Linked DNA regions of Stegostoma tigrinum. The protein of the gene in region 1 purifies or fractionates together with the protein of each later gene. This does not show direct contact. Links are inferred from orthologs where the notes say so. Each region holds a gene or a part of one and is shown on either strand. Other genes may lie near its edges.

What was found.
Region 2: the proteins of rfc5 (region 1) and atad5a purify together in Homo sapiens (affinity purification with mass spectrometry; 4 studies listed by BioGRID and IntAct, counting the BioPlex papers as one, with this or other methods). This does not show direct contact. The link is inferred for Stegostoma tigrinum from reciprocal best matches to the Homo sapiens genes RFC5 and ATAD5.

What each region holds. Positions count from the first base shown.
Region 1 is NC_081379.1:34,697,205-34,701,123, reverse strand, and holds the start of rfc5 (replication factor C subunit 5), read left to right. Parts: upstream 1-1,473; 5' UTR 1,474-1,488; coding exon 1,489-1,598; intron 1,599-3,919. UniProt on the Homo sapiens protein: Subunit of the replication factor C (RFC) complex which acts during elongation of primed DNA templates by DNA polymerases delta and epsilon, and is necessary for ATP-dependent loading of proliferating cell nuclear antigen (PCNA) onto primed DNA.
Region 2 is NC_081375.1:3,873,367-3,877,285, forward strand, and holds the start of atad5a (ATPase family AAA domain-containing protein 5), read right to left. Parts: upstream 2,515-3,919; 5' UTR 2,201-2,514; intron 1,990-2,200; 5' UTR 1,952-1,989; coding exon 1,904-1,951; intron 1,553-1,903; coding exon 1-1,552. UniProt on the Homo sapiens protein: Has an important role in DNA replication and in maintaining genome integrity during replication stress.

The DNA.
Region 1 (3,919 bases):
GATGCTGCTTGGCCTGCTGTGTTCATCCGGCTCCACACTTTGTTATCTCAGATAAATGAGGTGTTGTATTTTGGTAAGGCAAACCAGGGCAGGACTTATACATTGAATGATAAGGTCCTTTGTGAGCCACAAACAGACTTTGAGGTATGGGGTTCAGAGTTACTCAAAAGTGGAGTTGCAAGCAGACAGGGTAGTGAAGAAGGCATTTGGTACACTTGCCTTTATCGGTCAGTGCACTGAGTATAGGAATTAGGAAGTCATATTGCGACCGTACAGGATATTGGTTAGGCCAATTTTGGAATACTGCGTTCAATTCTAGCCTCTCTGCTATAGGAAAGATGTTGTGGAACTTGAAACTGTTCTGAAAAGATTTATAAGGAAGTTATCAGGATCAGAGGGTTTGAACTTTGGGGAGGGCCTGGGGTTATTTTTTCTGGAGTAACAGAATCTGAGGGGTGACGTTACAGAGAGTTATAAAATCATGAGGGGCATGGATAGGATGAATAGCCAATGTCTTTTCCCCTGGGTAGGGGAGTCCAAAATTAGAGGGCATAGATTTAAGGTGAGAGGATAAAGATTTAAAAGGAACGTAAGAAGTAACTTTTTTACATAGAGTATGGTGTGTGTATGGACTGAAGTACCAAAGGAAGTGGTAGAGCTGGTACACTTACAACATTTAAAAGTCATACATTTCGCCGTACGAAAGGAATACGTTCCGAAAGCTTTTGATTTCAGTTGGACTATAACCCAGTGCCATGTGACTTGGTCCACCCCAGTCCAACACTGTCATCTCCACATCTTGGCTAACATTTTAAAGGCACCTGGATCCGTATATGAATAGGATGGGTTTAGTGGGGTATGGTTTAAATGCTGACAAATGAGACTGGATTAATTTAGGATAGCCGGTCAGCATGGACAAGTTGGACAAAGGATCAGTTTCCATCTGACTCATATTGGCCTGGAAACGTTTATTAACTCTTCTCTCTCCATTGTTGCTGCCAGACCTGCTCAATTTCTTTGTTTATATTTCACACTTCCAACATGTGCAGCATTTTGCTTTCCTTTAAAAGAAACTGATATTGTTGATAAGGAGCGCTCTCGGAGGCACAGTTATATTTGCATCACCTTAGTCTTGTCCCATATGCAAGGTGATCTAAAAGGGTGCTTTTTGATGATGAGGTAGACAAACAGGAGCCTGGAAGAACACAGCAGGCCAGGCTGCAACTGGAAGAAAGAAAGTCAATGTTTACTCTTCTTCAGGAGTGATGACCACGGTGGGGACAGATCTTTACGCCCACCTCCGTTGCTTCATGGAATAAAGGTGCAGTTCTCTGAAATTTTGTTTCATCCAGTCCTTTTCTTAGACCGCGTTTTACTTAACGGCCCATTGCATATCTGATCTTCGCTGCAAGCTAATGTCCATGCACCTTTCGGGCTCCGACCATGTAACGCAGACTGTGGCTTTAGTGACTGTCTCAATCACCGCAGATGCTCAACGGCTTAAGCTCGCGAGAGCTCTGTCCTCACGCTGCGATTTGGCGCCAAAGCACGGTCACTATGGCGACGGAGAAGGAGGCGAAGAGCCGGAATCTTCCCTGGTAAGAGCGTGCCCGGCCGAGCTCATTAAATACCCCGTGGGGCTGCGTTAACAAACCTCTGCCACCACCTGGAGTCAGCGGCCGCTGGGCTCAAGCGTTTTAATGTAACGGAAACTGTGCGAGGTCGCCGGCTTGTCTGGGGTTTCCTCACGGACGGAACTCAGGCTGTAGGGGCCTTGCTGCTCTCTTTCTCTGATTGTGTTCCTCCCCTCCTGTAGTATGTATCTGACTCTGGCGGTTTGGGTCTACTGTAACTTGCTGCCAGCCAAAGGCCTGATCCCCTGTCGGGTTCGCAGACTCGGCACTTTGTGCTTGTTGATTATAATCTCCCGATAACACGCAGCAAATGCAGTTTTTGCTTTTGTTTTGAAACAAAAAGGACTTTATTCATAAAATTTGTAAAGGTGTGCCCCATAACATTTTAAACTTCACTTAGATGTAATAGGGTTCTGTTGCCTTCAATGCATTATATGACACTGTATGGTATATACATATATATTTACTGTGCAATTCATGTCAAACGTTCTCTGGTGCATTTAGCTGGAGGGTTCCAGCTTTCATTATACTATAGTGGGACGACCATAGAGTGTGATCTTTCGCTGTTGAGATTTTGAGGTGAATGAGTAAAGTTTTAGTCTGGGTCACTCAACACAGTGCTGGATCTTGGAATTTTCTAGTCTTTAACATAGTGACGGAAAGCTGAAAAACTGACAAGTTTTGGGCAGACCAATATTTTTATATGTAGAATTAATGACCTTCTAGCAGCAACAGCAACATATGTTGTCAGAGAAGCTAGAGATGTGACCAATTTGAATCTACTCCACAATTCAGTAGGATTGTGTTTTATGCTCTATCACAATGCCTTTTTTGTTTTCTCCCCATACCCCTTGATGCTTTTAAAATCTAGAAATGTATCCAACTCTTGAACATATTCAGTGATGTGGCCTTCTCAGGTAGATTAGATTAGATTCCCTACAGTGTGGAAACAGGCCCTTCGGCCCAACAAGTCCACACCGCTCCTTGGAGCATCCCACCCAGATCCATCCCCCTATAACCGACACACCCCTGAACACTATGGGCCATATAGCATGGCCAGTCCACCTAGCCTGCACATCTTTGGACTGTGGGAGGAAACCGGAGCACCCGGAGGAAACCCACGCAGACACGTGGAGCATGTGCAAACTCCGCACAAACAGTCACCCGAGGCTCTAATCGAAACTGGGTTCCTGGTGCTGTGAGCCAGCAGTGCTAACCACTGAGCCACTGTGCCGCCCTAAAGAGAATTCCACAAGTTAATTACCGTGTGAGTGAAAACAGTCCTAAATGGTCTACCTACCCTGTATCCAGAGACTGTGTCTTCTGGTTTAATCTAGAATTCCCCAGTCAGGGAAGACATACTCCCTGAATCCAGTCTGTCCAGCCCTGTTAGAATTTTATGTTTCAATCCAATTTCATCTCACCTTTCTTTATAAACTCTAGTTTATACAGGCTCAGTCGAACCAGTCTCCTCATAGACTGACCTGCCATCCATGGTATCTGCCTAGTGAACTTCCACTGCTGTCCCTGCATGGTACTTGTATCCTTTGTTGGGTAGTGAGACCAAAACTGCTCACAATACTCCAAGTGTGGCCACACCAAAGCCTGTAGCACAGCAGTAAGACATCTGCTGAACTTAAATTCTCTTGCAGTGAAGGCCACCATATCAATAGCCTTCCTAATTGCTAGCTGCACCTCCCTGTCTACTTTCATTGATTGATGTATAAGGACACACAGATCTCTTTGTACATCCCTGTTACCTAATATGTCACCATTTAAATAATACTTCTGGTTTTTTTTTGTCCCAAAGTCACTTTAGCCATGTTGTTCTGCATCTGCCATGCGTTTGCCCACTCATTGAACTTGTCTAAATCACCTTGAAGCTTCCTTGGCACCTCCTCACATCTCTCAATCCCACCCAATTTTATGTCCTCAGCAAACCTGGAAATGTTGTATTTTGTCCTTCATTTTATAGATATTGTGAATGGTTGGAGCCCAGGCACTGTTTCTTGCAGTACCCCACAAGTCTTTGCCTGCTACTTGGAAAAAGACCCACTTATTCCCATTGTGTTTCTTATCTATCAACTGATTCTCAATTCATGCTCACATATTAACCCCTATCCTATGTGCTACAACTTTGCCCAATAACCTTTTATGGGAGACTTTATTGAAAGCCTTTTAAAAGTCCAAAGATCACATCCATTGGCTCCCTCTTATCTAATCTACTAATTACATCCTCAAAAATCTCCAAGAGATTTGATAATCTCATTTATTAAGATTTGCCC
Region 2 (3,919 bases), on another chromosome or scaffold:
TTGTTTCACAACTATCTAGGTTTTTACATTCAGCTCTAAGTTTTCTGAGTTTTAACATTTTCTTCTTCTTCAAAGTTGCACCTACAGACTCTCTGCTTTCCACCCTTGAATCTTTGCAGACTTGGCTTGATATCTCAGCATTTGTAGTCTGGACGAATTCCCCTTTTCCCTTCTCAAGATTGGGCTCATCATCACTACCTTCACCTTGTGCTAAACCTTGCTTGGAGGCTTTTGACTTCTGCGTTACCCTTTTAAGTGCATTTTTTGCCTGATCTGAAGAGGGCGGTCGCCTGAAAGCATTCATAAATTGTTCCCTTTCAGCTCGACTACACTTGGCCTTCATAGGACTCTTTTCGGTGGCATCCAATACCAATAGCTCCAACTCCTCCTCTGCTATCACCACATTGGATCTCCTTGCAGGAACTGAATCATGGCTCTCAGCAGGATGTGGGCTCAGCTGTTGGATTTCAATCACTTCACTTTCAGAGTCTGCTTTCTTTCTCAAAAAAATTGAGGCTATTTTTTTCTGTTTCACTTTGGAATTTTGAGCTGAGGTAGCTAGAGGACTAGAGTGAATTTGAACATGGACAGTAACAGTTTTTGGGGAGATTGGCTGAGGAGAAACTGAACTCATGTCTTCTATTAAATTGGGAAGCTTGTTACGTTCCTCAATTATCTCAGAGTTGGCCTCTGCTGCTTTTTCAGCTGAAGGCTCTTCAGTTCCTTGGTCCTTCATAAAATCTTCGAATGACACAGTAACAGTGCTGTCATTTGCCTGAGGAGTCTCATTGGCTGGTGGTTCCAAACCTGTCTCACTGAAATGTATTTTTTCATTTTCAAGAACCATGGGGATAGTAGCCCCTTTAGACTTTGCTACTTCGATCCCCTCCTCACAGTAATCATCCTTTGTCACAAGTTCAACATCGGACTGTTCTGAAGAACCTTCAGGTTTACTCAAAGCCTTTCGTTTCCGTGTTTTTTTGGTGATTCTTTTACTTGAATGGCTGACAACTTCATTGCAAGTGTCCTTTCTGTTCTGTCCTTTTATCTCTCTTTGTAGAGTACTGGAACTCATATAAACACTTTCCTCATTCTCTTTAAATATATCTTGGCTTTCTGCACAAAGCTGAGCAATCAATGCAGCTGTATCACTGCCAAGAACTCCAATGCCTGACCTTACGTCACACACCTCTCCAACACTACAGTTACTAGAATCATTGATTTCAACAATCTTGCGGCATTCATTCAATTTCCGGCTTAAGTTAGTTCTTCTACTGAGTCTTTTCCTTTTGGAGATTTGGTGTTTCCCCTCAGAGACTACAACTGATTCCCTACTGTAGTCTACAGATATTACCGCTGAATTCTTTCGTTCACATTCACTCGATGCAACTGAAGCAACATTTTGTCCAGGAGTTTTCTTGAAGTAATCCATTATGTTACCGGACTTGGGTGATGGGCAGGCCATGTCGAGGGATTTGGATACTGGTGAAAAGTAGCTTGTAATTGTTTTTGTGTAGGAATCCTCTGCATCTTTCTTCTGTTTCTTGCACGGCTGTAAAACAAACAAACAAAATTAATCACTGTCTTGGGAAGCTTCTTACTTTCCTTGATTATCTCAGTCAGTTCTGCTGCTTTTCCAGCTGAAGGCTTTTCAGTTCCTTGGTTCGTCATAAAATCTCCAAATGACACAGTATGGCACCCCTTTGATCCAAAGTGACTTTTATAGAAGTCATTTATTATAATGACTGCAACACTATTACTGCCTATGTAATCAGTGAGTTGTAGTAGATCATCAACAAACGTGAAGTACAGTACACTCCAATGTGAATGACAACAACTATTTCAATTTTACGTCCAAAAAGACATTTGAAAGGAAGTTAAATGACAATCCAAATAGTCTCACCTGATCATGTTCCTCCACCATTCTGGCCATAGCAATAATCCCAACCATATCAGTTTAATCTTCCCCTACCCTGGGCATTCACAAACCTGATAAAAGACCAGTGAAGAACATTAATAGCAAAGAGCTCCAGCTGGTTATCTTGGACAGGCATTCAACAATATATAGGTTAAGTAAGTTGTCATTTTTTTTCATGTTTACAAAGAGATAATGATATAAAACGCATTTCTGATTATGGAAACAAGTGTCTCCAACAAATACTAACAGATCAGACAGCCATATTCAAAGCCAAATACTCGCCTTTAAGAAACCTCAGGTCGAAATCTGTGAACACACATTTCGGTGGCCCCCTTTTACAACATTAGTGGGGCCCTCACCCGAGAGGCCTCTTCTTATAATTTGCTTTCTTTTAAAAATGAAAACAAAACAATCAATCACATCAGATCAAATTTACGCTACACCTTTTACGAAAAACATGAGACTGAAACTCCCAATTAATTGTTACTCTACCCGTTGCCTTGAATATTCCCCCCACCCCTCCTAAAACGGGAGTCGGGACGGGGGAGGGGGGGTAAAGACATAAAATCTCTTTGAAAGACGCGCCCGAAACCCCGAGAAATGGCGCCAACTGAGTCTGACCTTTGACCCGCCGCCCTTCCCCAACAGCCGGCAGCGCTCGCCTGTCAATCCGAGACTGATCCCCGCCTCCGTTCCCGCCCCGGATAGGCCTGGCTCCGCCCCGCGCACTCGGGGGCAAGACCATCAACGGATTGGCTCCCGGTCGCTGTCAATCATGAGCAACGCCCCGCCCCGAATGACGCGGGGAGGCGACCGTTAGGCCCTGGGCTGTGCCCTGTCAGAGCGCGAGCGACAGAGCTGAGCAACGACAGCGGGACACTCCCCTCTCATCATCGGCGTTACTTCAGCATGAGCTGATGTTCGGTTAGTAAATGATGCATTTTTTTTTGTTGAAGTAGAGTGTAGGTAGGGAAAAATCTTCACCTTTTGAATTAAAAGCAAAGGCAGAGGTATAAATTAAACGTAAGAGGAAGGAGGTTTAGTAGAGGGGGGTGTGAGAGAAATATTTTTCACCGTGTGGTCGGAAGCTGCAGCTCATTAAGGTGACAGGGGCGGAAACCTTCATAACATTTAAGAAGTACATAGATGTGCACTTGCGATACCAAGGCACGCAAAGCTATGGGCCAGGTGTTGGAAAGAGGATTTCGAATAGTTAGCTGGTTGTATTTTAAACCTGCGCGGATCCGATAGGCCGTGGGACTTTTCCCTTTGCCGTGTGTTTCCATGAATCTGTGAACTGCAGATGCTGGTTGTCTCAAAAAAACAGAAGTGACTGGAGAAACTCAGTAGGACTGGTAATGTCCGTACACAGAGGAGAGTTAATATTTCGAGCCTAGTGACCCTTCAGAACTGATAGCAGCTTGGAAACGTTAGTCAACAAGGTGTGGAGCTGGATGAACACAGCAGGCCAGGCAGCCTGAGAGGAGCAGGAAAGCTGACGTTTCAGCTGACCCTTTCACGGAAATCTGAATTAAAAAGATGCGTCCAGACCCGAAACGTCTAGCAGGCTGCTTGGCCTGTTGTGTTCATCCAGCTCTACACCTTGTTATGTCAGATTCTCCAGCATCGGCAGTTCCTACTATCTCTTGGAAAAGTTAGAAGTTGGGTCTGCTTCGTCCATTCGTCTACTGTAAGCGGCGTGCAACGCTCTCTGATAGGAAATACTTTGCCAGATTGGCGCTGCGAACCTCTCCGGTAACTGGTATGGGAGTTTCTCGTCTTCTCTTTTCATTTTTAGTCTTCATGTAGGGACTTATTGTGCGTTTTTTTTCCCCTCATCTGACTTTAGTCTGTGCGTTTTCTTTTAAAAACCGTCTTGCTGTGTTAAATTTAAAGAGCAGAGTTCGTACAAACATTTTTGACTTTATAATAAAGATTAGACCAATAAATAAGGCGAGGAATTTTAGTTTTACTAGCTGGAAGCAGATTTTTGCACTGAAG